Linked DNA regions of Canis lupus familiaris. The protein of the gene in region 4 interacts with the protein of the main gene of each other region in a pairwise test. Links are inferred from orthologs where the notes say so. Each region holds a gene or a part of one and is shown on either strand. Other genes may lie near its edges.

What was found.
Region 1: the proteins of MYOG (region 4) and CLUAP1 interact in binary tests that used the Homo sapiens proteins (3 or more experiments, as listed by UniProt). The two-hybrid records come from large-scale screens. The link is inferred for Canis lupus familiaris from reciprocal best matches to the Homo sapiens genes MYOG and CLUAP1.
Region 2: the proteins of MYOG (region 4) and EIF4E2 interact in binary tests that used the Homo sapiens proteins (3 or more experiments, as listed by UniProt). The two-hybrid records come from large-scale screens. The link is inferred for Canis lupus familiaris from reciprocal best matches to the Homo sapiens genes MYOG and EIF4E2.
Region 3: the proteins of MYOG (region 4) and POLR2C interact in a two-hybrid assay, tested with the Homo sapiens proteins (2 studies listed by BioGRID and IntAct). The link is inferred for Canis lupus familiaris from reciprocal best matches to the Homo sapiens genes MYOG and POLR2C.
Region 5: the proteins of MYOG (region 4) and H2AP interact in binary tests that used the Homo sapiens proteins (3 or more experiments, as listed by UniProt). The two-hybrid records come from large-scale screens. The link is inferred for Canis lupus familiaris from reciprocal best matches to the Homo sapiens genes MYOG and H2AP.
Region 6: the proteins of MYOG (region 4) and TXNDC9 interact in binary tests that used the Homo sapiens proteins (3 or more experiments, as listed by UniProt). The two-hybrid records come from large-scale screens. The link is inferred for Canis lupus familiaris from reciprocal best matches to the Homo sapiens genes MYOG and TXNDC9.

What each region holds. Positions count from the first base shown.
Region 1 is NC_049227.1:38,019,994-38,024,612, reverse strand, and holds part of CLUAP1 (clusterin-associated protein 1), read left to right. Parts: intron 1-915; coding exon 916-988; intron 989-1,841; coding exon 1,842-1,919; intron 1,920-4,619. UniProt on the Homo sapiens protein: Required for cilia biogenesis. Appears to function within the multiple intraflagellar transport complex B (IFT-B). Key regulator of hedgehog signaling.
Region 2 is NC_049246.1:44,382,790-44,387,408, reverse strand, and holds the end of EIF4E2 (eukaryotic translation initiation factor 4E type 2), read right to left. Parts: intron 4,247-4,619; coding exon 4,142-4,246; intron 2,736-4,141; coding exon 2,583-2,735; intron 2,486-2,582; coding exon 2,349-2,485; intron 615-2,348; coding exon 542-614; 3' UTR 343-541; downstream 1-342. UniProt on the Homo sapiens protein: Recognizes and binds the 7-methylguanosine-containing mRNA cap during an early step in the initiation. Acts as a repressor of translation initiation.
Region 3 is NC_049223.1:58,229,838-58,235,080, reverse strand, and holds the start of POLR2C (DNA-directed RNA polymerase II subunit RPB3), read left to right. Parts: upstream 1-1,677; 5' UTR 1,678-1,746; coding exon 1,747-1,832; intron 1,833-1,988; coding exon 1,989-2,038; intron 2,039-3,921; coding exon 3,922-3,990; intron 3,991-4,355; coding exon 4,356-4,408; intron 4,409-5,243. UniProt on the Homo sapiens protein: Core component of RNA polymerase II (Pol II), a DNA-dependent RNA polymerase which synthesizes mRNA precursors and many functional non-coding RNAs using the four ribonucleoside triphosphates as substrates.
Region 4 is NC_049228.1:241,232-246,449, forward strand, and holds MYOG (myogenin), read left to right. Parts: upstream 1-1,818; 5' UTR 1,819-1,881; coding exon 1,882-2,352; intron 2,353-2,903; coding exon 2,904-2,985; intron 2,986-3,369; coding exon 3,370-3,491; 3' UTR 3,492-4,190; downstream 4,191-5,218. UniProt on the Homo sapiens protein: Acts as a transcriptional activator that promotes transcription of muscle-specific target genes and plays a role in muscle differentiation, cell cycle exit and muscle atrophy.
Region 5 is NC_049260.1:32,882,669-32,886,151, reverse strand, and holds H2AP (huntingtin-interacting protein M), read right to left. Parts: upstream 1,422-3,483; 5' UTR 1,368-1,421; coding exon 1,002-1,367; 3' UTR 872-1,001; downstream 1-871.
Region 6 is NC_049231.1:44,389,180-44,394,343, reverse strand, and holds the start of TXNDC9 (thioredoxin domain-containing protein 9), read right to left. Parts: upstream 3,092-5,164; 5' UTR 2,853-3,091; intron 358-2,852; 5' UTR 328-357; coding exon 139-327; intron 1-138. Other genes in the region: EIF5B (eukaryotic translation initiation factor 5B), read left to right, coding at 4,142-4,176. UniProt on the Homo sapiens protein: Significantly diminishes the chaperonin TCP1 complex ATPase activity, thus negatively impacts protein folding, including that of actin or tubulin.

The DNA.
Region 1 (4,619 bases), on a different chromosome or scaffold from region 4:
GCCCGATGTGGGATTCGATCCCGGGTCTCCCAGGATCGCGTCCTGGGCCAAAGGCAGGCGCCAAACCGCTGCGCCAACCAGGGAGACATTCTTTCGTTCGTTACTTGGCGGAGGGAGGGGGAGGGAGGGCGGGAGGGAGGGAGGGAGGGGACGGGAGGGGGGGGGAGGGAGGGAGGAGGGGGGGAGGGAGGGAGAGAGAGGGAGAGGGAGGGGAGAGGGAGGAGAGGGAGGAGGGAGGAGGAGGGAGGGGGAAGGGGAGGGAGGAGGGAGGGAGAAGGAGGCGCGGAAGGAAGGAGCAAGAAGAAAAGACGAATGAAGGTCATCCCACAATCATCATCTCCATTTCTTTTATTCCTTTTCTTTCCTTTTCTTTCTTCTTCTTTCTTTCTTTTCTTTTCTTTCTTTCTTTTTTCTTTTCTTTTCTTTTCTTTTTTCTTTTTTCTTTTCTTTTCTTTTCTTTTCTTTTCTTTTCTTTCTTTTTCTTTTCTTTCTTTTTCTTTTCATTGTGATCAGCCCCACCATTTAGCATGTTTTGGGGCTGGAGTGGTGCAGAGCTTTGGTCTTTGGAGCAGGAGCCTTGTACTGTCCCGTAGTTGATGCATCTGCTCCCCTGTTGGCATTGCACGGTGACACACGTGATGGGCATTTCAGTGGATCCTTTCGTGTTCTTTAGGGCTCGGGGGGGAGGTCAGCTGCCCCACTTCTGGCTGCCTACCTTTCTCTGGGCTGCTGGCAGAGAACAGGAGTGCTGGGACCCGGCCCTGCTTGTTGACTGGGCGCTGATCCTTCTCGTGTACTTTAGATCCTGGCTGGTCCTGCAGCACAGATTAGCCCTACGTACCTAGATGCTAAAGAACAATAAAGCAGTCCGGAACAGGGTCCTTTCTTCTGAGTCTTGTGTTTGTTGTTCCCTAGGAAGCTGAAAATACTCTGCGCCTGATGCAGAACAAGCTGAAGGAGGAGGAGAAGCGCCTGCTCAGGAGTGGAAGTAAGGCCACACTCTCAGACAGGGCTGTTTCCTCTGTGCCAGTGTTGGTATTCCTGAAAGAAATCTGTATGTATATATTATTTATTTTCAAAAGGCAGTTTTCTCACATGTTCTATATCCAGTACTCTTTTCGCTCAAGAGCTCAAGAGGTTGGTTCAAATTACATAGTATTTAAAGCACATCTGGTTTTCTTGTCAACTAAAATACTGTTTTCCCATTTCAATGATACTGTTAGTTTGAATTGCATGTAACATATAACCATGAAAGAAAACTGGGTCTTGGGGGTCTGTAGGGTCCTTATTTTAGGGCAGACTGATAGAAAGCAAGTGCCATAGTGCTATGCCCATGAAGCATGAAGGGGTCACTTCCTTAGGGTCCGTCCCCCTACCATCATAGCCATCATGTGGCCCCCAGTAATCCAAGATGGTCCAGTGAGGCTGTCAGCTGGTGGGGACTGCTGCTTGTGACTGGTTAGCATGCTTCATCTACGAACTTCACCAAGGTGTCAGGTCAGCCTCAGGAGTCACAGCAGTACATGGTCTTCATGCTGCATTCACAGCCCTGTCTCAGAGTTCTCCTTCTCTTGAAAGGGATGATATACTTTTTTATGACGATATACTTGATTCTCCTGTGCTTGAGGACTTCAGGCATGTATATAGGACTTCAGGCATGTATACCCACGGTGGCTCTCTCTGTCTTTGTACTTTTCTCCTCTGTACTTGTCCTATGCCTCTTCTAATCTCAGGAAGCTCTGGAAGGACAGTAAGGACTTCGGGGAGATCCTTTAGGGGCAAGTTTAGGGAATTCCCAGGGCCTCTCTAGCCGAAGCAGCCCCTTACCTTTATGGTTCCAGGTGAGCCAGGAGAGCCTGAAGCAGCCCTAAGTGATAAGCCTGCATGGGATTTATCCCCTCTTGAGAGGCCTGGCACAGGTAAGAGCCCTGGTTGGTTGGCTGCACCCTGCTCTGTCCCCAGACCAGCATGTAAGACTTTCCTCACTGATATTGTTTTATTCTTCTAAACTCACAGTTTAATTTTGTGATCCATAGATTTGGGATCTCTTGAAGGACAAGCATTCATAGGAGCATCTCTGATTTAGCTTTTTTTGGAAAAGTAATTTCCATTTGAAATAAACTGAATGAAGGATAGCACTTAATTAGCTTGGGGTGGGCAAAGAAGTTAGGAAAACATGAAGACTCATTCTCAGTTCTGTTCATCCCAAAGTTCTTAAGATGTTCTGTTTTTCTTTGCTGTGCTATATATGTGGGAGCATTGTTCAGAGAATTGGGATCAGGGGAAGATATATAAAGGAAGACTTTCTGAAAGACTTCTCTGAACAGAAAAACCTAATAGGACATGGACATGATTAAGAGCAAGAATGAGCAAAATTCAGGAGTGATAAGAGATTGAGTGCAACAAATCATTGTTGAAGATCTGTTCTGGATGCGAAGGATTCACTAGTGGATGAGAGACAGGGATCCTTGCTTTAACCAGTCTGCTTGCCAGTGAGAGGACACAAACACTGAGCAAGCTGAGAGCAGAAGGTGACCCTGGGGTTGGGGGGAAAGTAGAGCAGAGAAAGGATGGAGAGGGTGGGATGGAATTGGATTTTAAATAGGGAGTCAGTGTAGGCTTCGCTTAGGAAGTACTATTTAGGGCAGTCCTGGTGGCGCAGCAGTTTAGCGCCGCCTGCAGCCCAGGGTGTGATCCTGAGATCCGGGATCGAGTCCCACATCGGGCTCCCTGCATGGGGCCTGCTTCTCCCTCTGCCTGTGTCTCTGCCTCTCTCTCTCTCTCTGTATCTCTCATGAATAAATAAATAAATAAAATCTTTAAAAAGAAAAAAAAAAGGAAGTACTATTTAAGCAAAGCTAAAATAAGTGGATCTGGGGAGAAAGGAGCTACCAGTTGAGGAGAGAGAGACCTGAGAGTCTGCAAGAGAGTGGGGACCAGAGCTCAGTGAGGCGATGAGTTTGGAGGAAGGGACTTGAGGAAGAGAAAGTCTGAGTGCTTAGAGACAGGAGAATGCCCTGGGGTTAAAAAGGCCAAGCATTTTGTTCTAGTACCCTGTAATAGAAGTAAGGGCAGCCTTCGTCTTCCCACTATCCTTTTAAACCTCACTGCTGGTGGTAAATCCATAAAATGACCCAGAAGTTTCTAGAAAGCACATTAGTAACCTTGTTGTGGTTTAGTTTTTATAGTATGGTGGAGAGCAGATGTTCCTGCATTTAACACTTAATTTACTGCATGCCTACTGCATGTCAGGCATTTTGCTGGCACTTAGAACATAGTGATGAGTGAAGTGCTCACGGAGCTCAGAGTCTAGAACTGTGCCACCCAGTAACTGGCCATAAACCATGTGTGACTCTTGAGTACTTTCAATGTGGCTGGTCCAAATTGAGGTGTGCTGATTGTGGAAAATATACAATAGGTTTCAATGACTTAGCATGAAAGAAAGTAAAATTATTCATTAATTAGTATTTTATGTTGTTTACTTATTGGAATGATATTTTGGATATATTGGGTTAAGTAAAACAGCACTAAAATTAATTTACCTATTTCTTTTTACTTTAATATAGTTAATAGACAATTTTAAATTATATATCTGCCAGCTGGTATTACATTTCTTTTTTTTTTTTTTTAATTTTTTTTTTTTATTTATGATAGTCACACACACACACACACAGAGAGAGAGAGAGAGAGAGAGAGAGAGAGAGAGAGGCAGAGACATAGGCAGAGGGAGAAGCAGGCTCCATGCACCGGGAGCCCGATGTGGGATTCGATCCCGGGTCTCCAGGATCGCGCCCTGGGCCAAAGGCAGGCGCTAAACCACTGCGCCACCCAGGGATCCCTGGTATTACATTTCTTTTGGACTGTGCTGATCTGAAAGGAGACACAAATAGTTAAGTGGGCGTGAAGTATATCTCATTGTGATTTTGATGTGAATTCCTCTGATAGCTAATGAAATGGAGCATCTTTTCATTGCTTAATGGCCATTTGTATAAATCTTTGGAGAGGTTTATTCAAGTCTTTGGACATTTTTAAATTGGGTTATTTTTTATTTAATTATTGAATTGTAAGAGTTCTTCTGTATATTCCGGATACTAGATCCTTATGTGATCTGGGATTTGCAAATACTTTCTCTCATTCTCTGGGCCATCTTTTCAGTTTCTTGCTGATGGCTTTGATGGCTTTGGCTGCATAAAGTTTTAATAAAGTCCACACTATCAGTTTTCCTTTTGTTACTTGTTTTTAGTGTCATACCTAAGAAACCACTGCCTAATTTAAGGTCACTAGGATTTATCCCTGGGTTTTCTTCCAGGACCTTTATAGTATAACTCTTACTTAGGTTTCTGATCCATTTTGAGTTAATTTTTACATATGGTGTAGGTAGGCGTCCAACCTCATTGTTGGGCATGTGGCTATCCAGTTGTCTCAGCACCATTTCTTGGAAAGATTATTCTTTTCTCTTTGAATTTTATGGGCACTCTTGTCTGCCATACTTAATTTTAATGCATCACTGATAACTCGGTGATTTCAGTTACAGCATGCATTAATTTAGTGTATTGGTTTGAATTTGTCAGAAGAAATGTTGAGCTTGAGAAACATGTATTGATATTTTAAAATTCATA
Region 2 (4,619 bases), on a different chromosome or scaffold from region 4:
CAGCAAAGCAAAGGCCAAGGATCCCCCTTTCCAACTGTAACAGACTTTCAAGCTGAATTCTAATCAGAAATCATTCTGTTCTGGTCATCAGTGTGACCAGATGGGAACTACAATTCAAGTACCAGAAAATGGGGTCTCATTTTGAGAGCGAGATATCACCTCATTATGTCAGACCTCAGCAGAACTGGAAAAAATATCATGTGACACTACAATGGGCTTATGGAAATGAGGCTGCATTCCCCAGATGGCCCTCCATGGAGAAGTCTGTGCCATTCCTTAATATGGTGACAGTCAGTCTGAAAGGCCACTTCTTTGATGCACCATAAAGAGCGAGAGCATGAGACAAGCTAGTTTAGCACCATTTATTAAGTGATCTCAGCTGTTGTTGTAGCTGCTGTATATCAGCCTGTTCTTAAAACATAAAATGCTCTTCCAATTCCTCTTGTCCAGGACAGAAGGATCTTCCAGGTAGCACGCCAACAGAACAAGAGACTCCGATGATGCCAGCTTCAATGATGGTGCCATCCAGAGAGGGAGAGGGTCATGGCACATTCAACCGCGGCTTCCAGAGGTTTTGAAAAAGGAGCCTTTGGGGGCCCAGCCTGCCTGGCATTCTAGTGGAAGTGCAAAAGGTGGGCACATTGGGAGAGGAAAGAGAGGGAGACGCGAGGGAAAGTAGCATCTGGGACTCAAGGAGGGTTTCTGGTCCCTGTGGCTGTAGGGCTGGAGTGCTAGGCAGATCTCTTGATAAAGCAGCGAGCAGCAGACTAAGGCAAAAAGCCCACAGGCTCTCCTAGACTCTGTAAGAACTTGTTCACATTTTCTACAAAAGTCAGGAAGAATTGCCTCAGGGTATTAGAGAGGGAGAACAGTGGAGGGGAGAGTTGAAAAATACCTCTTTCCCTTTCCTATCCAGGTAAAAGCTTGCTTTTGTGGGGATTGGGGAAGTGGTGGGGGGCATTTGGGAACCTTGACCATAAGAGTCCTAGAAAAAGTAGGTGTAGACCTTTCCAACCTGGACCATGACTGGCTGGAGGGCAGAAACTATTCTCTTCCAGAATGAAGAATGGGGGAAATCTGCCTAGAGAAAAACAATGCTAACTCAGGAGTGCTAAGGCAAGCAACCGGGGCCATGGCTGGCTAGTAACTGTTGGTGTTTACGGAGAAGTCACAGCCAGCTATGTGATTGCGGACCAATGCTTGTGGCAGTGTTCCCAGTAAAAAACTGGCACTTGGCTAGTTTAAGCCAATTCCACCCACAACGTTATCTGTAAATGCATGGGAAAAAGATTCCCAAATAGTTTGCCTGCTGAACACCATCGCTGGGCTCGTTACTGGTCTTTAATAAGAATAACATGATGATGATATTATTACTAATGATGACGATGACAGCAATAATAATACTTGGCCCTGCAATAGCATTCTCCACCTGAGGACGTTCAATTACAAAGATTAAATCAGCCTCACAACAACCCTGTTAGATAAAGTATTATTATCCTCCATTTTACAGATGGGGAGACTGAAACAGAGTGGCAGAGACTTGCCAAAGGCACATATTGATACTGGAGTCAAAGGAGAGAGTTAAACCTCAAAGTCCTGACTCCTAGTTGGCTAGCTCTCCCTCTAGTTTTGAGAAAACCTGACAGCCACTCCCCACAACTTCTTCAAAATAACCTGAATTTACTTATGACTTTGGTCACTGAAGGAGCAACCCTAACCTATGATTCCAATTTGTGGACATCCAATTCTAGGTACCCCGAGTTCTAGGTAGATCGCAAAGCTTACTTCCCCCTTAGATTCTACTCTCACAAACGCACTATTCTGCCTCCTCTACAATTTCAGTTCTACACACAAGGAAGTAGAGTCATCATTTCCGATAAGAAGTCGATTTCCCAGGACAAAGAAAGCAGACTGACACTAACAAGTTAAAAAGACATGCAAAAGTGGGGTGAGGGGCAGACAGGGAGGAGGACTGGACTATTCAGTGAAATTATCCTTAAAAACAGCAAGAAAAAGAAGAGCGCTTTGTCTTTCATTTTAAGATAGTGGTTAGTGAATGAAAGACAAGACAGCCTGTGTAAATGAAGCAAGCCCAGGCAGTACAACTGGGATTCTGCAGAATTCTGCAGAAGGGCTCTCTCTGATACAAAGTGCCCCAAGTGTAGGTGGGCAGGGAGCCTCACCAGCAAACAACTGCTACAAGTGGCCAGAAGCACTAGAGGGGAAGATTGGTCTGTCCCTTCTCTGTAAGTCAGGCTCCTGTACAACCACATATCCCTCTGGGCCCAACTAAGGACCTATTTCGGCTAAGCTTAGGGACATGCCCCCCGAGCACCCCCAACACATACTTGATGCTGTCGGTGTGGGTTTTGTACTCCATAATGGTGTTGGGAGGTAGGTTAAGCACTCGCCGAAGGGTATCCCGGATGCGGGCTGTGGTTGCTTGGTCACTGGCAGTCTTATTCCATATTGAAATAATGTCCTCCTATAGGAGGAACAGAAGGAATCGTCAAAGCAAACCAGAGGAAGTGAGGAGAGCAAAGGCAATACAGGAAACCAGACCTGCCCATGGAGTGGCTTACCTGAAACCGGACAGAGACCACAGCCCCACAGATCTCCTCCCCAACCATGAACTGTTCCCCCAACATGGCCAGGATGAGATTCTCCCAGCAACGGGATGCCAAGCCCTTCCGCAGTCGAATAATCCACTTGCCACCATTTTTATTTGCATCATCCTGTACAAGAAAGAAACCATTAAAGTTAAAATGTGCTTTCACAGGTCTTTTACTTTTACATGATAAAAGCCGGCAGGATCAAAGCCCATGTATCCCTTGAACACTAAAGTCTTGTCACCTTCCAGTTATTCAACTTTATAGGAAAAATGATGGTAGGACAAGGGAGACAAGAAATGGGAAAAAAAGAAAAACAAGGTGGGAATCCTTGGTACAAGCCATTACAACGAATGGCTAAACTGACCCTTTAAAAACAATTCTCTCTCTTTGGAACTATTTCAGGAATCAAAATGAAGCGATGTCAGATTTCAAACACAGATTATTCCTCGCTTCATTCACTAAAAGTTTCCCAAGTGTCACGATATCTCAAGTACACGGACATAAAGCCACAGTCTCTACCAGACCCAATCTAGTGGATAAATCAGAGCAGTACAGTTGGAGAAGTGTTGCTGTACCAGAGATACACTACGTTAAAGAAAAACAAGATAGAAACACTCAGGAGGAAACATTTTAAGCTGGGTCTTGAGGGATGCCCAGTTAGGCAAGTAAAGCAGGTGAAGGGCTCTGCAGGCATCAAAAAAATCATGTCTGTGTACAAAGTGGTTCGTGTGTCAGGGAGACAGGCAAAGAAGAAGACTAGCACACTGAAGGGAAGGCTGAGGCATGCTGGGAGATGAGGCCTGGAGGGCAAGTGAGTGCAAGAGCACGTGAGCAATGCAGAGCTGCAAAGGGCCTGTAGTTAGGTGTGCACGTGTGTTCACATTTGTCTTCTAAAAAAAAAAAAAATGCTGGGATCCCTGGGTGCTCAGCGATTTGGTGCCTGCCTTCGGCTCAGGGCGTGATCCTGGAGTCCCGGGATCAAGTCCCGCATTGGGCTTCCTGCATGGAGCCTGCTTCTCCTCTGTCTGTGTCTCTGACTCACTCTCTTTATCTGTGTCTCTCATGAATAAATAAATAAAATCTTTAAAAATAAAAAAAAATAAAAAAATAAAATAAAATAAAAAAGGCTGGCATCAGAATAGAAGATGGATTACAGCAAAGAGATCTCAGAGCTCAGCTCTGGGTCTTTAACTACTGCCTATAAGCAAGCTTACTTTTTACCAGCTTCTATCACATGTACACTACAGTACTATATCACATACATGTACAACCAGTTTGATGGGAATGGGGTAATTAAAAAAAAAAAAGTCCTTTAATGTTGTTATAATACCATTTTAGTGATATAAACAATTTCTGTAAACCACCGACACAGACATGCAATGACATCAGTACCTTCTCCAAGGCCCTGGCTCTAAGGATATACCAAATAGTGATGTAGCTTTGAGGCAAGATTTCAAATACTTTTACTCTTATTAGGGAGAAAAAACCCCAAACAATCAGAAAAGTGATCTGAGATCCTCCATGCTTACCTCCCACATGGGCTTAATTCCTTCTTTGAAGAGATGGAAGTCACTGTGGCCTGTCAGGTCCCCAGGACGTACCATGTGGCTATAAAACCTCCAGAACTGCTCCACCTGTAGAGAGAAGACCCCAGAGTACAAAAGATGTGTCTTTTCTTTTTCTTTGAATATGACATTTAAGAGAAGACAAACATGGAAGACACTCTGCTACAGACTCTATTTTTTTGAAGATAAATTTTCATTTGGGGAAGTATGTGGGAAGGCAGGCACGTTGTTTGTTGATACAAGAATGAGGATTGTTTATTTTTTTATTTTTAAAAGATTTTATTTATTTATTCATGAGAGACACACACAGAGAGAGAGAGAGAGAGAGGCAGAGACACAGGCAGAGGGAGAAACAGGCTCCATGCAAGGAGCCTGATGTGGGACTCGATCCTGGGTCTCCAGGATCACACCCTGAGCTGCAGGCAGCACTAAACCACTGTAC
Region 3 (5,243 bases), on a different chromosome or scaffold from region 4:
CCAGCAGGGTGTCCAGGACCTCAGAGGGAGACAGCAGTGATGCGGGAAAGGCTTGAGGCTGGCAGCCAGGAGACCTGGGTTCTGGTCCTTGTGCGGCCTACTGCTCATGGGTGGGTATGGCAGCTCTGCCTCACTGGGCCCATGCTTCCCTTCCGGAAGTGTGGGTGACAGTGGCCTTCCCCTTCACCATGAGCTCTCTTGGCTGCTATTTTCTATCGCTAATCTTTTCAGTGATCTGTTCTTTAGCATTAATAATTTCCTCTATACACTAGCTGGGTCTCCCTTTGCAAGTCTGGTTAACTCCTTTGTCATAGTGTTCTTGGGCTGTTATAACAAGATACCAGAGATGGGGCAACTTAACGTGTTTCTCACAGTCCTGGAGGCTGGGAAGTCCAGGATCAAGGTGCCAGCCAGATCAGTTCCTGGCGAAGTCTAACTTGCCACCTTTTCTCTGTGTTTGAATAGGGCAGAGAGAGAGAACTACAATGTCTCCTCCTGTTCTTACAAGGGCACTATTCCTACCCTCCTGGCCTCCCAAAGACTCCCATCTCCAAATACCACACCGGGTGCTAGGCTTCAGCATTTGAGAGGGACACAATTTAGTTCAGAGCTTCTATCTGCGGCATTATGTCCAACCTAAGTTGACTGAGTATTGATGGGAGGGGGCGGGGGGGAGTCACCAGCTAATAGGTGTTTCCAATCTTGGCCTTACACCAGCCCTTCTCTGTACCTATTTAATTCTTTGTATCATGACTCCCTGTCAAGTCCCCTACAGTAGCTATTTCAAATTTTATTCCATTCTTTATCCTTCATAGCATCCTTCCTGCCCTCAGCAGACAACCTTAATCCTTAATTTCCTGAGATGACACAGGCTATGAAGCACAACCCCCTTCAGTACCCTTTCTGTCTGTCTCAGGAAGAGTCACCTCCAGCTAAGGCAAATTCTTTATCTCCTCTCTTACTCTTCAGCCCCTTAAATGGAGCTCCTGCTAAGTTCTATTTTCAGAACCTCTTCTGTGTTATGAGTGGCTGCCCATTCAAACCTTTCTCCAGGCCGTTGTGGGGTGGAGCGTTGGTAATGTCTTAAGCATCCACCCTCTGAGGGGCACTGTGCCAGGCATGCAGAGTCGCGGCGTGGAGATGACTGCCACCCACCCGCCATAACTAGGCAAGCTGCGAATGATGCGTTGAGATAAAAAGCAGCATATCTTCTGCAGTTTCAGAAGAGTATGAGCCAGACTTTGACGAAGTTACACTTCATGTTCTTCCATAAATGTGCAGATTTACTTCATTCCCTTAAAGGCACCCTAGTATCCCTATGGTCGTGTATTCAACGTGGTCTCTGTCAACAGACAATTCGTTTTGTTATCTTTGGCCGTTATGAACAGCGCTGCAGGGAGCGCCCCCGAACCTGTCTTCGCTTACGACTGCGGGCATTTTCGCAGTATGAATTCCTAGAAGTGTTACTGTTGAGTGGAGGGCGTGCGCACGTTCTGCCAATTCCCGCCCGCGCCTGGCTGGCCCCGGTGCGCTTACGGCCGGTGGGGAGTGTAGAACGTGCGGCCCAGAGCCGCGGCGGCCTCCGGGCGACAGGCGGCGCTGTAAGCGCGAGGCGGCGGCGGTGGCGGCGCGGGCCGCGCTGGTCCACTTCCGGCGGCGCGGGCCGCGCTGGCCCACTTCCGGCGGCGGCGGCGGCGGCGGCGGCGCCGACGCCGAGTCCCAGCGGGCGGCGGGCCGGGGGGCGCCATGCCGTATGCCAACCAGCCCACCGTGCGGATCACCGAGCTTACCGACGAGAATGTCAAGTTCATCATCGAGAACACGGACCTGGCGTAAGGCCCCGAGGGAGGAGGCGGGCGGCTGCGGAGCGCGGGGGGCTGGAGCCCGGGCCGGGCCGCAGAGCGGGGCGTCCGCCTTGGCAGGGGTGGGCGCGGGGTGTCGGCGTCGAGGCTGCGGCGCGCTCACGCCGCTTTGTTTGCATCCCTCAGGGTGGCCAACTCCATCCGGAGGGTCTTCATCGCCGAGGTGCCCATAATAGGTAAGCGAAAGCCGCCTGTCGTGGCCAGCCCCCTCCGCACACCTCGGGCCCTGCCCCCAGCCCTTGGTTGGGGCGGCGCGGCGGTGGCTCTGAGAACACAGCAGTGCTGGGCGTTCGCTCGGACCCTGTACCCTTGGCCCGGGGCCGCTAGGGTCCTCTCCTAACGTACGGATCGGCGCAGAGTGGACGGCAGTCTGCGTACTCGGGTGTGAATCCGTCCCGTCTGCTGCACGTAGGGAACGTAGAAGCGCCAGGCAGTGTGCTAGGAACTGGGGACCCAGAGCTGCATAGCGCGGGGTTCTTGCCCTTGTGGAGCGCACGGTGAAGTTGCAGGGCAGAGGCGAATCCACAGATGACACGACTGTGGGGCAGATGTGCATCAGCAAGCAGTTCAGGAGAAGTATGACTGCAGCGCTTGCGGTGTTTGGAGGAACGAAGATCTGCTTTAGTTCCAGCAACCCTACCTCGGGTGTTCTTTATGTGTATAAACATTACAAGTATTTTCTGAATGTTGACTCAAACTTTGGGTTGGAAAACGAAGTGTAACTTCTGGCTGCTGCACTCCCTAAGGAAATGAGCAGGCCCATTGATTGGCAAATGAAAGAACATCACAGTCTGCACTACCGTCATCCCCAGTCACTTCTTCAGCTTGGAGCTTGGAGTGCTGGTTCTCCCCCGTCCCTAGTCATTCCAAGTCTCTGGGTCTCAATTTTATCATGAGTAAAATAAGAAAGTTGTGCTTTATGATGCAGCCCTGATGTTACAAGTCTAAACGGCACTCTTCCCACAGATTCAGTTCTGCAAGTAATACTGAGCACCTGTTACATTGCAGGCCACACTGGGAAAGCCAAAGGCGTTTGAAGACCACCCTCTCTGATTTTTCAAAGCTCTGCAGTAGAGACAAGACATACACAAATACAGCACAAGGCAAAAATATGACAAATGTCTTTAGTCTGGTCAGAGTTTTGTGAGGGAGTATTAGTGTCTGTTTCGTGGAGGTCAGGCAACGCTTGGTTTATAGGAGGCTCAGAGGATCGTAACTTCCCCAAGGGAGGGTAAGGTCATGTGGGGTTGGAGGGAGTAGGAAGACAGAAAAGCTTGGCTCATGGGTCTTATCTGACTTGGGTTGGGGAAGCATTAGCGTAGGACAAAGCAGATTGGGTCCTAAATGTCTAGTCCTCTTCTGACTCCCATTCCCAGTGTCCACACCCTTTATTTGGTAGTTGGCCACTTATGAATTTGCGTATAGGTATTTTATTTATAAATGAATATGTTTTTAAGTCAAGTGTGTGTGTGGGAATACAGTCCTTACCTTTATTAGCTCGTTGCTGGTAGGAATTGAATTTGATACTTACTATGCTGTGCCCGCTGAATTCTTTAAACGTTAGTTGGTTGATAAAAAGACTTAAATTGGGTAATCTGGTCATTGCATCATAAAATGAGATATGGACCATAAGTCTGTTTTTTGTGAGATTTTCTCTATTTTAAGTGCCCATGTAGTTTGTGTTTGATTTGGTGTTGATGTGCATAGCAGACAACATGCTTCCTACAGAAATATTCAGCTCAAGGAAACATGTTCCCAATCCCATGATTAGTATCCCTTAGTATTCTCTAAGTCAGTATTTTGAGTGGGACAGCACACCTCCCCCCCCTACCCTCACCCTGCACTAAATCTGAGTAGGGAAGGGAGCTGTGTTGCATGTGGATCTTGTTAAAATGCAGATCCCTTGTCCCCACTCAAGCTGCAGAATCAGCCTCTGGCTGCCTGGCCCAGGCCTCTGTAATTTAGTAAACATCAGGTGATTTTTTAAATCAGGAGAATAACTGCTGTAAGTCTTTAAATTTGGTGGCTAAACTGCATGTTTGCTTGCCTTATTTTTTAGCCATTGACTGGGTCCAAATTGATGCCAATTCCTCAGTCCTTCATGATGAGTTCATCGCTCACAGACTTGGTGAGTGCTGGGTGTTGAAAGGTGAGAGGGAGGGGGCTGTGCCTGACGTCAGAGGAGGAAGCCTCACTCCCATAAGGATTTCTAGGTTCTCCTTTAGGCTTGGCCATTGCCATTTGGACTTTTTTTTTCTTTTTCTTTTTCTCTTTAATAAAGATTTTATTTACTCATGAGAGACCCAGAGAGAGAGAGAGAGAGGCAGGTACACACACAGGCAGAGGGAGAAGCAGGCTGCATGCAGGGAGCCTGACATGGGACTCAATCCAGGGTCTCCAGGATCACACCCTGGGCTAAAGACGGCGCTAAACTGCTCAGCCACCCAGGCTGCCCGATTTGGACTCTTTAAAGTGCATTTCTGTTTCTTCCAGGACTAATCCCCCTGACTAGTGATGACATTGTGGACAAGCTGCAGTATTCCCGGGTATGTTGTGTGATTGGGTGGAAGGGGCAGGAAGGAAGCAGCCCTCAGAGGCATTTTCCTGACCTCTTACTTCCAGCTGGAGATCATGGAGATGTTGCCTAGAGCCTAAGCAGACACAGGGCCTCAGTTCTGACAGGCCTCAGATTGTTTAGGCTTCAGGGGCATCAGGGAGTCTCTCCAGCCACACAAGATGGGGGATATACACCAGAATACCCATTTATACTCAACAGTGGGGGCAGTGCCTTTTCAGAGTCTAATCTATTCAGACTGTTTTCCAGGGTGTCCTTCTCAGTGATAGGAGCCTGGAAGGCTAAAGAGAGTCAACAGAGGGTTGGAGAGTTTGGGGGGCGGGAGGGTGAGAACAAAGAAAGGGAGTGGGAACTGTCCCCCGTGGTAGCACCTGAGAGTCTGGAAGGCTGGCATCTGCCAGATATGTGCCTCTTCCTGTAGGTAATGCTCATTAAACATGCCCCTTCCTCGAGGGTCATGTTTGTTCCCTGATATGTTAACAGGCCTTGGACTTGGCAGGAATGGGACAGGATTAAGTTCCCTGCTTCTTTTCCCCAGTGCTGTGTTAGGTAACAGTTTGAGACTCTTCTCTCTCGGTGGCTTTGGGTGATCCTGAATCAGCGCATCATCTGATATTCCCAAGGGCATGTCATTTTTGTGGTGGTAGATTTGATATATGTTATAAATCTGTATTTTTTTAGAGATATGTGGAGCTTACCTGACCAGTACTCTCACTCCTGTCAAACAACTTGTCATATTCTAACAATTTGCATGCAGATTTTTGTTTGTCAAAAATGAAATGTCACAAATATTGGTGAGGATAGTT
Region 4 (5,218 bases):
TCCGACCCTCGCCCCGGGATGAGGGCAGCGAGCTCTCTGTGCAGCGTCAAGCCCCGCCGAGCCCGGTGGGCCCCCTCCCACCTTCACAGACCCGTCGGGACCCCGGGCCGTCCAAACCCTCTCCCTGAGCCCCCGCCCCTCCGCTCCCTCCCCCGAAATCCCACCTGCTGTCCAGCCCGGCTGCCCGCTCCCCTGCAAGCCTCCGCCTTCCACAGAGACCCCGACTTCGGCAGTTATGACTTTCTCGACTGAAGCGCCCGGTTGGCGAGCCCACTCGTTTGTCATCGATCCCGGCCCCCATGCTTCCTGCTGCGTTAAAACAGCTCCCTCTTACACTGCGATTCACCATCCGCGTGTCGGAGTCCACGCTCGCCAACTAGAGAGTAAAGATCCTAGAAATCACAAGCCCAGCTTCCCTGCTTCCTTTTTTAGAGGGTGCGAACGCACCGCCGAGGGGCAAGGCAGATTGTATCCCAGAAGCACGAAACGATGCAATGTGTCCGTTTCCATAGTAACTTCAACATCCCTTCTTCTCTCGGGGCTCATAGGGATGGAGTGTAAACTGAGGCAAGGTTTTTCTTTTTCCCTTGCTTGGCGGGATGCGTGTTAGAAACAGCAATCCTCCTTCAGCCTAGCTGGCCAAAGTGTGGTTGGAACCCAGAGCCCCCGAGCGGCCGCCCTGGGAAGGCCAAGAACCCAGTGAAGACCTCCCCGATCCCCCTTCAACATGCATGGGGGTTTGCAGTGCCCAGTGGCAGCCCCGCCTCATCTCTGTTCCCTGCCCCAGACAGACGCCAGCCTTTTCCTGGCTCCTCACCATGGACCGTGAGCGGCAGGGAAGCCGGGTCCCTCGGGCTCCACTGGGTCCCACCTCCCCCGGGGGGTCGTCTCTGAGTCCCCAGCGCCATTCCTCCTCCCCGTACTGTCCTTACCCTGGTTGGAACTTCTAGCCTCAATCTCAGATGTCAAGTGGAGGGGGGATCAGACTTAGTTCAAGAGTTTCTAGGGAAAAGAGTGGGACCAAAGAATGAAGAAGGGGGCACATTGCCGCCCAAAACCCAAAAGGCCGCCCTGTGCCAGAGGGACAGACGGGGAAGACAAGGTTCACTCGGTGGGGAGGGGGCGGGGTAGCCTGTAAGTCCTGATGTTGCTTTGCCCCCCACCAGCCGCGTGGAAGGGAAGCCCCTAAGGTCCCCGCCCAAACACCGGGGAGTCCTTCCTGCCTCCACTTCCGCCCTCGCCGGAGACCTGAGGTTGTTAGATGTCCAGGCCGCTTTGGAAACCCACTTGCGTCTGCGGGTTCCCTCTAATCCCTGGACACCGAGCCCCCCGAGCCCCAAATCTGAAGCCCTCTCCTGCTGCTGACTGCTGGGGCCTGGGCCAGGGCTGTGCCCGCTGACTCCTCAGGCCCCCTCCAGCCGACCCCGTGCCCCTTGTGCCCTCCCCTTGCCCCCACCCCACTTCTCTGGGGCTGGCAGGGACGGGGCAGGCGGGCCGCCCAGCCCCGAGTAATTGAAAGGAGCAGATGAGAGGGGAGCGTGTGTCCTCCCCCACCTCCCCTGCCTCCTGGGGGCCGCAGAGAAATGAAAACTAATCGAATTACAGCAACGGCCTCCCTCCCGGTGCACAGGAGCCGCCCGGGCCGGGGCAGGCGGGCTGGCCGGGCGGGGGCTGGGGAGAGGGCAGGGGAATCACATCTAATCCACTGTAAACGTCTTGATGTGCAGCAACAGCTTAGGGGGGGCTCAGGTTTCTGCGGCATCGGCTATATTTATCTCTGGTTCCATGCCAGCGGGGAGGGTTTAAATGGCACCCAGCAGTTGGCGTGAGGGGCTGTAGGAGCTTGGGGGCCGGTGGCAGGAGCAGGTCCTTTCCGACCCCATGGAGCTCTATGAGACGTCCCCCTACTTCTACCAGGAGCCCCACTTCTATGACGGGGAGAGCTACCTGCCAGTCCACCTGCAGGCCTTCGAGCCGCCGGGCTACGAGCGGACTGAGCTCAGCCTGAGCCCCGAGGCCCGGGGGCCCCTCGAAGACAAGGGGTTGGGGACCCCCGAGCACTGCCTGGGCCAGTGCCTGCCGTGGGCGTGCAAGGTGTGTAAGAGGAAGTCGGTGTCGGTGGACCGGCGGCGCGCGGCCACGCTGAGGGAAAAGCGCAGGCTCAAGAAAGTGAACGAGGCCTTCGAGGCCCTGAAGAGGAGCACCCTGCTCAACCCCAACCAGCGGCTGCCCAAGGTGGAGATCCTGCGCAGCGCCATCCAGTACATCGAGCGCCTGCAGGCCCTGCTCAGCTCCCTCAACCAGGAGGAGCGGGACCTCCGCTACCGGGGCGGGGGCGGGCCCCAGCCGGGGGTGAGTGGCTGCTGGTCCCTCGCAGCTGCCCCGGGGGGGTGGGAGGCCGGTGCCCGCGCGGGGCCGGGGGGGGGGCGATGCTGCAGCAGGCGCCGGGGGGGCCTAGACACGGCGGGGGCCCCTCGGCAGAGCCGGGCTGCCCAGCTAACCCGTGTCCCTTTGTCCTTCAGGCCAAGCTGGGGGCGGCGGGGGGACCTGGAGGCGGGGGGGGGGGCGGGCGTCAGGAGGGAGGCGAGGGTGAGTCCGGAGCCGGCCTGGGTGGGGGCGAGGGTGAAGGGGGCGTGTGGCCCAGCGCCCCGCTTGCTGCAGCCGCGTCCCTCACCTCTGAGGCTCCGGAAAACCAGGGACCCCTTCGGCTGGGTGGCCTGGGAGGACAGGGCCACGGCCAGAGACGGGGGGCAGGAAAGGCCCGGAGGCAGGGGGCGTGTGGCCAGCGGGGGCACAGTCTCCGACGAGGCCCTGGGGCCCACCCCCCACCCCGCGGCGGCGACAGAGGGACGGAGGGACGCCAGCAGTGGCCGCGCTCTGACCTCGGGCTTCGCGTCCTGCAGGTGCCCAGTGACTGCAGCTCCCACAGTGCCTCCTGCAGCCCCGAGTGGGGCAGCACCCTGGAGTTCGGCCCCAGCCCCGGGGGTGAGTGAGCCCCGCACCCCTCAGCCCAGGCCTCTGCCTCACTTCCCGCCCCAGGCCTCTCCCTGCCGAGGCTGCCTCCCGAGGCCCAGGAGCCGGGGAGCCGGGGAGCAGGCCAGGCCTCCTGCCCCTCCGCGCCCGGCGGTCCCCAGGGTGCACAGGCGGCTCCACTCACACCAGCGGGGAGGTCACGGGCGGGGGAGGGGGGTTGGGTGCTCAGCAGGCACACGGACGTACACGCACACCCGCACCCCCTCCCTGCAGGCCCGGGAAAGGCAGGGCCTGGGGAGCAGGAGCCCCGGCTCCCACCCAGCCACCATCCTGGAGCACCCATGCCACTCCGAGGGCCCCGTCACCCCCGGGTAACACCCTCCCGTCTCCCCGCAGACCACTTGCTCGCCACCGACCCCTCGGACGCCCACAACCTGCACTCTCTCACGTCCATCGTGGACAGCATCACGGTGGAAGACGTCTCTGCGGCCTTTCCGGATGAAGCCATGCCCAACTGAGGGCGCCCGTGAGCGTCCCCCCCTACCCCCCGCTGGCCGCAGACGCCTTCCTAAGCCGGGCTGTCCTGATGCCAGAGAGCCAGCCCGGGGCTGCCAAGCGCCAGTCTCCCCCCCCCATCCATATAAGGCCAAGTCACCGTCCCCCCAGAGGGGTGGCCGCTCTCCCAGCTGACTCCTGAGGGCAAGGAGCAGCCTGTCTCCAGGGAGATAAGCAGGGACCAGAGGGCCCCTCGTGTGCCCCGTGTGTGCCCCAGGTCAGGGGCCAGACTCAGGAGCTCCCCTTTGTTCCTGATGCTCCACCTCCTCCCTCGATAGAGACTGCGAGAGGCGAGCTGGTCCTGACCAGGACGAGCTGTGCGCCTCCCGCGCTTGTCCCTCCCGATGCCAGCGGCTGGGCTGGGCCTGCCCTGCACTGGGAGACAAGGGAGGGGGACGATCCTGCTCCTGGGTCCCGGGGGGGTGGGGTGGGGCAAGCTTTGCAGTGAATCCTGGGAAACTTCCAGTGGTTTCATGTCTTGTGTTTGCGATGCTGCCATCTGACCAAGGTCTCCTGCGTACGAGTTGCCAGGGACAGGCAGGGAGGGGGGCAGGGGTCTTGGGTGATTTCCTTTCTTAACTAAGCATCGTGTGGTTTTGACATTGTTTTGTAATTTTTTTTGCTAACTTATTTGGATTTCTTTTTTAAAAAATGAATAAAGACTGGGTGCTAGGAGAGCGTCCTGTGTTGATGTCGGGGGGTGGTGCCCGCCAGCCCGGCCGTTCCCCTCGATGGTGTAGACACAGCCCCAGGGTGGGGAACTCCCAGGGCCTGCACCTGGTGGGGCTCTGAGAGCAGCTGAGGCAGCACTTTGCTGGTCCCACCAGCTGCTGGGAGCCCGGCTCCTTACAAAGGCCACTGGGTGTGGCCCACGGGGTGGGTGAAGGCCAGACCCATGGACGCCTCGAGACCTGGAGAAGGGCCCGGCCGGCACTGGGGGCCCCCCTGGTTCGTGGACACTAGACCGTAGACCGTGCACCGGGTATATGAGCTCCACCTTAAACCCCAGGACCCGTTCCCTTCCACCCATGGGCATGCCCTGTGCCCAGCTCTCATCCCACAGCCAGCTTGCAGAGTGATGGATGGGAATTTGTGGGTCTCCCGTCCCTCACCCCTGCCTCTCCTCTGGCCTGAGGGTCCAGGAGCCCTGCAGGGGGGAGGTGAATAGGTCGGTGTGATTGATTGGGGTCAGACGCCGTCACGTCCGTGCAGGCCACCCAGTCTTTCCTCTCTGCATCCTGCCAGGCCCCTGCCCACGGCTGGAGGATGGACGCGGTCATGGGTGCAGGGGCAGGGCCCCAAAGGACAGTCAAAGGGAGGGAGGCTGGGCTTGTGTTCATGCGCCGCTTCCTTCCAATGACTGGCCGAAGGGAGGAGGTGGGGGAGGGCGGGGAGTGAGAATACAAGCTGAGGCTGAATGGACTGCGCACGTCTATGAAAGTCTTACTAACTCCAACTGCTTTAGGCTGAATTTGTCTGATTTATTGCAAATTATAAGTTTGAGAATCATTAAGGAGTCTGGGGATCCAGAGCGTGACACGGTCCGGCCCCCACTCAATTCTTCGGGGCCCCCGATGGTGGACGGGAGCCAGTTTTACCTCCCGCCGGGCCCCCGAACCCGGGCCTCTGTGCGTCCATCAACCAGCCGGGCCCTGTGCGTCCATCTGCCCCATGGTGGGAGCTTCTCCTT
Region 5 (3,483 bases), on a different chromosome or scaffold from region 4:
TATCTGGTTCCTAGGAATACCTCTGGCTTCTTCCTCTGTGTGGCACTTTTCTGTGTTTCCACAGGGTTTAGTGGGCTGTGGTTTCATAGCCAGAGGTCCAGGAGCCCAGCAATCACGGGAGAACCAGGCGCAGGGGCACTTGCAGAAGTACACCTAAGCATCTGGTCTACTAGGGAGGGAGAGACATGCAAGTATTAAGAACTCTCCAAATTGCTTGTTTTAGGCCAGATAGTTTATAATTGCTTGTTTTAGGCCAAATCACTTAACTTACCAGTGTCCACAGGAGAGGACACAAGGACATACTCCACAAAACGTTATCACAGCACTAATATTATCTGTCTTACATCCTTTTTTGGAATGAGGCAGGGTATCAGTGAATGAAATCAACCTGAGCACCGTTCCACTCTGTATACCTCTTCATGGGTTCCCCATCGCCCCTCAATCTTCACGTAAAGCTCATGCCATCAAGTTCACGTCAACTGCTCTGCCATCCTCTCCATCCACCCGCACTGCCATCACCTTCTGACTTCTACACGTTCCCTTCTCATGAATAAGGTTCCTGGCACCTCAGTCACGAGCTTCAGGACCTTCCCAGTTACCACCATGGTTCTGGGAACTCAACATGCCTGGGAAGCCCCCCACCCGCTGCCAATCTCTCAGCCCACAGGCCTTGACTTGCTCAGAGCCCATGAGGAAGTCTCTCCTCTGCAGCCAGCTACTCCCCCCCAGGGCCCAGAGAAACCCCTCCCTGAAACACTGGACTGTAGCCTCCCACACTGATCACCCCTTCCTCCCTCCACTCCCCACAGGAGATCTCCTCCTGGGTGTCTCACAGACCCCGCCGACTCGGAAGGACAGAAACAGAGACAAGTCAGAGGCATAGCCCTGAGCTTCAACACTTTAATAGCATTAACTGATGACAGAAGCCAGACTTCTCAGTTATAAGAAGTCTTGGCTTAGACTAAGGCTGTGAGGACTCCCACAAGTCTAGGACCCAGGCTTTAGCCATTTCTCCTGGATCTAGGCATCTCATCAAACAGAGTGAAGGCTGTATCCTTCAGGCATTGTTGGGGCTCTCTGTTGCTGCCCACTGCTCTCTCCACATCTTGTGGGGCAGTCTGCATGTTGTTGTTATTGGCCTCAGTGCCTACACGCTCCAGGATGTAGTCGGTGAGGGAGTCGAGCATGGCAAGGAGGAATTCAGTAGATGTTGAACTTAGGCAGTGGGTGCGCTGATCTTCCTGCAGGAGGCGGTCCACATAGCTCACAGGGAACTGCAGCTCAGTTGTTACAAGATGGGCTTGAGTCTGATTGGAGCTCTCATGGTTTTTGTTCCCTGACATGATGTTGGCAGGGTTTGGCTCCATCAGCTCTGCTTGATTCCCCAGCTGCACTGTGCCTCTCAAGACAACAGGGGTCAACCCCGCCCATTTATATTCCTAAGCCCTGGCCCCTCATTGTGACATCATAGACTTTGGGATGTCACTGGTGTCCACTGTGTCCTTATCAGGCCTCAGCCCAGAAATGTCCATGACAGGAACCTGGTCACCCTAATGAACAGACCCTGATTTTGAGAGAACTAGAATTTTCTGCTTGATTTTAACATTGTAGAGATCAATGTGTATTCCAATGGGAAACTTCCCCGTCTTAGGACATCACTCTACATTATCTGATTCTGGCCTTATATGGTCTTTGAGGCCTTTTACAATCCTTCATTAGTTGTAGGTTAGTGATAAATATGTAAAATGTATTGTCTAGTAGAGATTATATTGTCCCCCTTCCATGATATAATGAAACCAGTTTTGCCTCCATTCACACATGCATTTAAATATTTTTGATTAACATTCCTGTATCTAATCCTTGGATTCTCTATGAACCAGTTATATCCTCTTCCCATTCCCTCACTGATTAAATAGAATCTTTTAATACACGTTTATTTCATACCTGTATTAGCCTCTTCATTTTACACTGTTTGAAAAATATCTCTTGATCATTGTGGAAGTCATAATGAGATGCTCAATGGATGCATCTTTCAGAATCACGTAAACATTGTTTAGAGAGAGAAGTGTACTTTGCACTTAGTTTAAGTCCAGTTGTGTCTTCTTGGCTGTCCTAGATGAAGCCAAAGCACCAAGAGGTGTTTCCTCTCATTTTATTCTCATTTTTTAAGAAAAGTTTTTATTTATTTATTTGAGAAAGACAAAGAAACCGAGAGAGAGAAAGAGAGCATGAGCAGGGAGAAACCAGAGGGAGAAGGAGAAGCAGACTCCCTGCTGAGCATGGAGCCTCATGCCAGGGTCAATCCTAGGACCCTGAAATCACAACCTAAGCCAAAATCAGATGCTTAACCGAGTAAGCCACCCAGGCGCCCCATTATTTTTTTCTCATTTTAATTTCCCTTTCCACGAAGTTGGTGTTTCTGCTTTGTTTGGGGTTTATTTACAGCGGTAACAATTAAAGACATTTCCAATCCAAAAGAGAGAAGTAGCAGGAAGAAAAGAGTCTGATCCAAGCAATGTGGATCAAGCAGACAAACCTACATACATTTCAAGGTCTGGGAATAATATTTTGTAGCTTGTGGCTCCTTCTGATCCCATGACTTCATCTTGGCCCACAGCTCTGCCCTCTAGGCCCTCGGCTCTGTCCTCAAAATCACCTTCCTTTTATTTTGAATGGAACACATGTTTTCAGCTGAGTAGTTTTATCAGCCTGTTTTCCTCTTGTCAAATTTTGGGAGCTCCATGACCTTCTTTCATTTCATCTATTTTCTCAGTTAAAGATAGCATAGTTTTTGCTGATTTAGCATACTCAAAAATCTTGTAATTCCCCACCCCATACTACATGGGGATTTGTGCCCTTAGACAAGAAACTTGTTCACAGATCCTTCCAGGAAAATGCCATCTCAATTCCTAGCTTCTGCTGAGATGGCTGAGGTTATCCATGATTCACACCCTATTGCTTCAAAGAGCCCTCTGTTTGATTGAATACTTTGATCTTTCGATCCCTCTGAGAAAAGATGTGTCTAGCTACATGCTTGATGTTTATCTCCACAAGACACTTTCCTGACAGCAAATCCTCTCATTTTAATGTCTTTTGCATTCTGGATAGGCTGAGAATTGCTCCTATCTTCAAGTCCTGGCTCCTTTTTGCTTAACAGCAAATACTTTTCTCAGAAATATGCTCAACTAAATCTTCAATTCACTGTTCATGAGTTCTGCTTTCCACATAACTGTAGGACAAAAGTTGGCCAAGATTTCTGCTACTATATAACAAGAATCCCCTCTTCTCCAGTTTCCATTATGCTGTTCCTAATTTCTTTCTAAACCTTTACCAGCAACACCTTTGATGTTCATATTTAGGTTACTTATGATGACTTAGGTCTTCTCTAAAGACAATGTAGGTTTTTCTCCACTGTGCTTCTTACTTCCTTTGGAGCTCTCACCAGCAGCACTTTTAACATCCGTATTTCTACTAACTGCTCAA
Region 6 (5,164 bases), on a different chromosome or scaffold from region 4:
TGATAGTACTCTGAAGCAAAAAATGAAAACAACTCTAGAAATGAGGACTGAAATATAAAAGTACTTCAGCACATGTATATATAAGTTGTTAGGAGCATACTGTTAAAGTAATTTCAGAAAGCAGGGCAGAGAGGTTACTTGTTTCTGCTGTTGAGCTTTCCTTAACGCCTCAAGTCTCTTTTCTTTGAGGCGTTCCAATTCATCCTCGTCCATCTGATCCAGTTTCTGAATTTCAGAATCCAAATGTTCTTCTACTAGTTTGGTGGTCTGAAGCAATTGATTTTCCAGGACTTTTGAAAACATGTCAACAGATGCATTAGCTTCCATTCTTCTAAATGGTACAGTTCAGCCTTGGTGCTAGGGAGAAAGTTTGCAAAGTTGGGGGGAGAAAAAAGGTAAAGTTTCTTCTCTCATTTTAAAAAATTCTAGCAAGTGTATAATTTGTACTCTACAAAGAGTTCTGACAACCAAACATTTTGTGTTACACTTAAGAATTTTTACTTAAGGCAGCCCTGGTGGCTTAGCGGTTTGGTGCTGCCTTCAGCCCACGCGTGATCCTAGAGACCGGGGATTGAGTCCCACATCGGTCTCCCTGCATGGAGCCTGCTTCTCCCTCTGCCTCTCTGTCTCTAATAAATTAAATCTTAAAAAAAAAAAGAATTTTTACTTAAATGTTTTTATTGATTGATTGATTGAGGGAGGGAGGGGAGGGGATGGCAGAGAGGGAGAATATTAAGCAGGCTGTGTGTTCGGTGAGAGCCCGACTCAGGGCTCTGTCTCACAATCCTGGGATCATAAACCTGGGCTGAAATCAAGAGTTGGACGTTTTAACTGACTAAGCCACCAAGACATCCCTTATTGAAATCTTTTAAAATTGAATTTTCAATAGGTTATAGTCACACCACTCAAATATTACTTAGAACAAAGGTTAGGTGCTTCTGATTTAGTTTGTGCTTCACTACAACAAAGCAAAAACAAGTCTTTAAGACCAGAGAGTAATGAGTAGTTGGAGTTCTACCTAGTGACATAAATTGATAGTGCTTCTTTGTTTAAACCAGAAGAGAAATAAAGCAGGAACGACTGAATAATGATGTGGTAAAGTTTAAGTGCAGTGAGGTTTTACATATACATCTACAAAACAAACTTTGCTTCAGTATAGAACAGAGTTGAGCCAACAACGTATTTTTCAAGGTCTCTACCTAAATGATTTTCATTTAACCTCTGAGAAACTGCATCACAATTTATGTACAAATTAGGTAAAGAACAATTTACGCCTGGTGTTCCCCAAACTTTAGTTTCACTACTTTTCTCCAATGCCCTAACAAAAGATCAATACTGGTACGGATCTACTGACAGTGTTCTTAACTTTGATGTGAAACAGTATCACTCCAAGTGTTAAAAATACTGATTTTTTAACACTCCTTTATGTAAGGTAGGAGTTTAAAAACAATCTAATTCAGATAGGAAAGGAAATTCTATCTTAATTACACATTCTATAAGATGTAATATTTTCTGTCAGCAACAGATGGAAATTTTATGTGTACCCATGGGTTATTACCACAGAAATATAATTTATAACTTGCTTATGAAAGCAGGAAGCTGTTGATCTCAACTATGACACGATTGCAAATACTACTGAAGAAAATCTTAATAAACCGTGAACTCACTGACCAAGTTACTGACATATAGCCTGGCCCACGCAAACTCTCTACAACTGTTGAAATCAAAAGTAGTAGTCTTGCAAACTTCACTTTTCTTTTTTCTTCGCAGGAAAAGCAGATGAAAAGCACAATTGATTTCATTTTTGTATCCCCAGAGCTAGCAATGCTTGGAACACAGCTGGTGCTCAAAAAAAACTTTTGAATGAACATGTGCCTACTTTTTGTTCAAATTATCCTTAAGTTTCAAAAGTATCTGACTTAAAAAAAACCAAACTGGGCAGCCTGCGTGGCTTAACGGTTTAGCGCCGCCTTCAGTCCAAGGCCTGATCCTGGAGACCCGGGATCGAGTCCTACGTCGGGCTCCCTGCATGGAGCCTGCTTCTCCCTCTGCCTGTGTCTCTGCCTCTCTCTCTCTCTCTCGTGAATAAATAAAATAAAAAAAAAATAAACAAACTGTAAGCTCCTCATAAATGCTATGTATTTTTAAGGAATTGCATTTCAAATATGGTAAAAATAATCTCACACTTCCTACCTCCAAAGAAAAACGTCAGTACGACTGTTTCCCTTAGGGCTGGGGCCGGATGAGGCAGAAAACTGGTTATCAAAACACTAAGTTATATGTCAGAACCTGTTCTTACTAAAGCTACAGCGGATGCTTATCCCTGAAGTTTTAGGAGACTGAACTCAGAATTTAATTCTGGGATAACTGGGGACAGAAGCCAGTAACACGAGCTGTTCTGGGGACAGGTGACGGTGGTCACCACATTCACAAAAGGGAAGGGAGATGGTGTAGCGATCCTGATGACTTTTCATCCTTCAAACCACAAACCCGATTCCTTTTTACTGTTCATCGGGAACGGTCGGAAGGGGCTTGTCTTCAAATCACCTAACCGTTTCCTTGACTCCCTTACACGCACCCGTCCAAACAACCTTCACTGCACCCGAGGAACCGCGCCCCCCCCCCGAGGCTTCCCCGCCACTCCCAGAGCCCCAGGGACAGCCGAAGGCTGAGGGCAGGTGGCCCCGACTTCAACACCTCCCGCGGCGCATGCGCCGAAGCCGCCTCCGCCTCACCGACACCGACGTCTGGGCCGCGCCCCTCCCCCGCCCGGGCCGGATGTTGAGTGGCGAAGTGTCCATCAGCACGGGGAGGCGGTGGCCGGTTTTTTTTAACACCATCCTCTGCCTCACCTGAGCTCTCGGTGACACCGGAGAAGTGAGGAACCAGCCGCTCCAGGAAGGCAGTCCAGTCTGGCTTCACCCTCGCAGCAGCTGCCCGTGACTGCGAACCGGCCGTCACTTCCGCCTCCCCTTTGGCTGCGGCCCTCACGCGATACAACCTGAGACGCCCGAGGAAGTGGGGCGGGGGAGGAGGGCGTGCGTGCGGGGAGCGCCTCTGCGCGTGCGCAGCTCCCTTCCTCCCCTCCCCCCCCCGGAGGTTTCCGATTTTTAGCCTGGCTCTTGGTCGGCCGCCCACGCGCCGGGGAGCAAAGTATGCTGGAGGTTGTAGTTCGTCAGTGCTCAGCCTGGCCGCGTCGGACTTTCTTAGGCTCGGAGCCTCAGGACACGTCATGTTACATCAGAAACGGGATGGCTACGATCTTGCTCCGGAGTGACATCCCAACTTCACTTCCTTTGTGTTTAATGAACTTTTTTTTTTTTTTTTTTAAGTTGAGGTATAACTTCCAGAGCACGGTTAGTTTTTACATAGTTAACACCGTCCAGATCCAGACATTGAACGTGTTTTCTATCCTAGTAGGTTCCCTTTTGACTTCCCTAACAAATTCTTAGATATTGCTGTCGCTTTGAGCGTTAAGACTAAGATCTAGTTCGGGGAACTAACGGTGTGTCCTTGTTTCGTTCGCGGTCATTGTTTTTTAGTGACCGAACGGACTTGATAATTCATGGACGTTATCGAGAGGCCCAATGTGTCCTCGATATATGACCTAGAGTGCCTATCACCGGCTCATCGCGGTTCTTTAGTGACCCGCGTGCGGTTGAGAATACGAAGATAGAGAGGTGGAAGCAAAGCGCAAGGCTGACTTCGGAACAGAGCTCCAAACTCCAAGTCTGCGTTCCGCCGCTGAGCTGGAGCTAACGAGGGGGATTTTCAGCCTCATTGTCTCCGAGTTCTAGAACCAGGAGACGCAGCTGTTACCCGCGCGCGGCGGACGCTTGCGGAAAGGGGGCGCTCGGGTCCCGCCTGGCGGCGGGTCTGCCGGAGACGCTCTACCCGAAGCGCAGCTCTCGATGAGCCGCGCCCTGCGTCCCCACGCCGAGGCGGCGGGGCGATGCGCTTGCGCACTGAGCGCTCACACCATATGTGCCCTGTCCCAGTGCGCGGGGCTGTGGAGAGCCGGGTGCGAGAGGCGGCAGCGCGAGGGGAGCCGAGCCGCGGAGCGACCGAAGTCGGCTGGGGGACAGCGGGTCTGTGAGAGACCGAAGAGAGGGGCTGGGGCCGCGAGCGCCGCTGACACACGATGGGGAAGAAGCAGAAAAACAAGAGCGAAGACAGGTAGCCAGTGACTGGGTCCGCACGGCGGCGTCCGGCGCAGCTCAGGGGTTCGCGCGGGTTCCGCCGGCGCGGGGCGGCCGGGGGCGAGGCTCGCGCCCGGCCCCGCGGGGCCCCGGGCCTGGGTCCCGCATGGGCGGCACGGGGCCGCGACCGCAGTTGCGGACGGGCGCGGAGGGCCTCGGCGGCGGCGGCGGGTTCTTCAGTCGAGACTCGGTCCGGTCGCTGCTCCTCGTCCGGCCTGGAGGGAGGGATCTGGTACCTCAGGGGCGGGGCGGTGGTCTGGGGGGTCCCCTGCCCCGCGGGGAGGGGCTCCGGTGGCCTCGCTGGCCCAGGGACTGCCCGGCCAGCGTGGCCGCGGCCAGCCTCAGAGTTGTTTTTGCGGCGCTACTACTGGCGAGGGTCAGGAAGAGTTCTTTCCGTGCCTTTGTACCGGCGAATACTTGAGGAGAGGCGAGTTGGAGTGTGGCTGTACCTTCAGCCAGGTTGGTAAAGTCTGAGCCGCTCAGGTGAGTTGGGGTTACAGGGAGGTGTTTAACAGGTAACTCCCTCCTAACTTCCTATCATTTGGTTATAGTTCTCAGTTACTTAACGTCTAGTTGTCCAGACTCCATGCTTTTCGCTTTCCTTCTTCCGGCCTGTCTTTTGGTGATTTCTTTGCTCTTTAGCACCTCCCCCTAAGAAAGGAGGAGGAGACAAAAACCAACCAACCGGGGTCTCTCCTTTCTAACCAGTTAAAAGGCTTTTTTTGTGGGGGGGGGGGGGGGGGGGGGGGGGGGGGGGGGGGTGGAGGGAGTGTAAGGGCGTATGGAGAGTTACGTACCCCGAGACTTTTGCAACATTTCTGCGTGTCGCATTCGATTGAATTCTTTGACTCTTACTCAGAGTTTACTAGCTGGGGGGGGGGGGGGGGGGGGGGGCGGTGAACGTCTGTTATATTTCACCTTTTATACCACTGACCAAATTTAGTTCGGATACTAAGGGGAGAGTA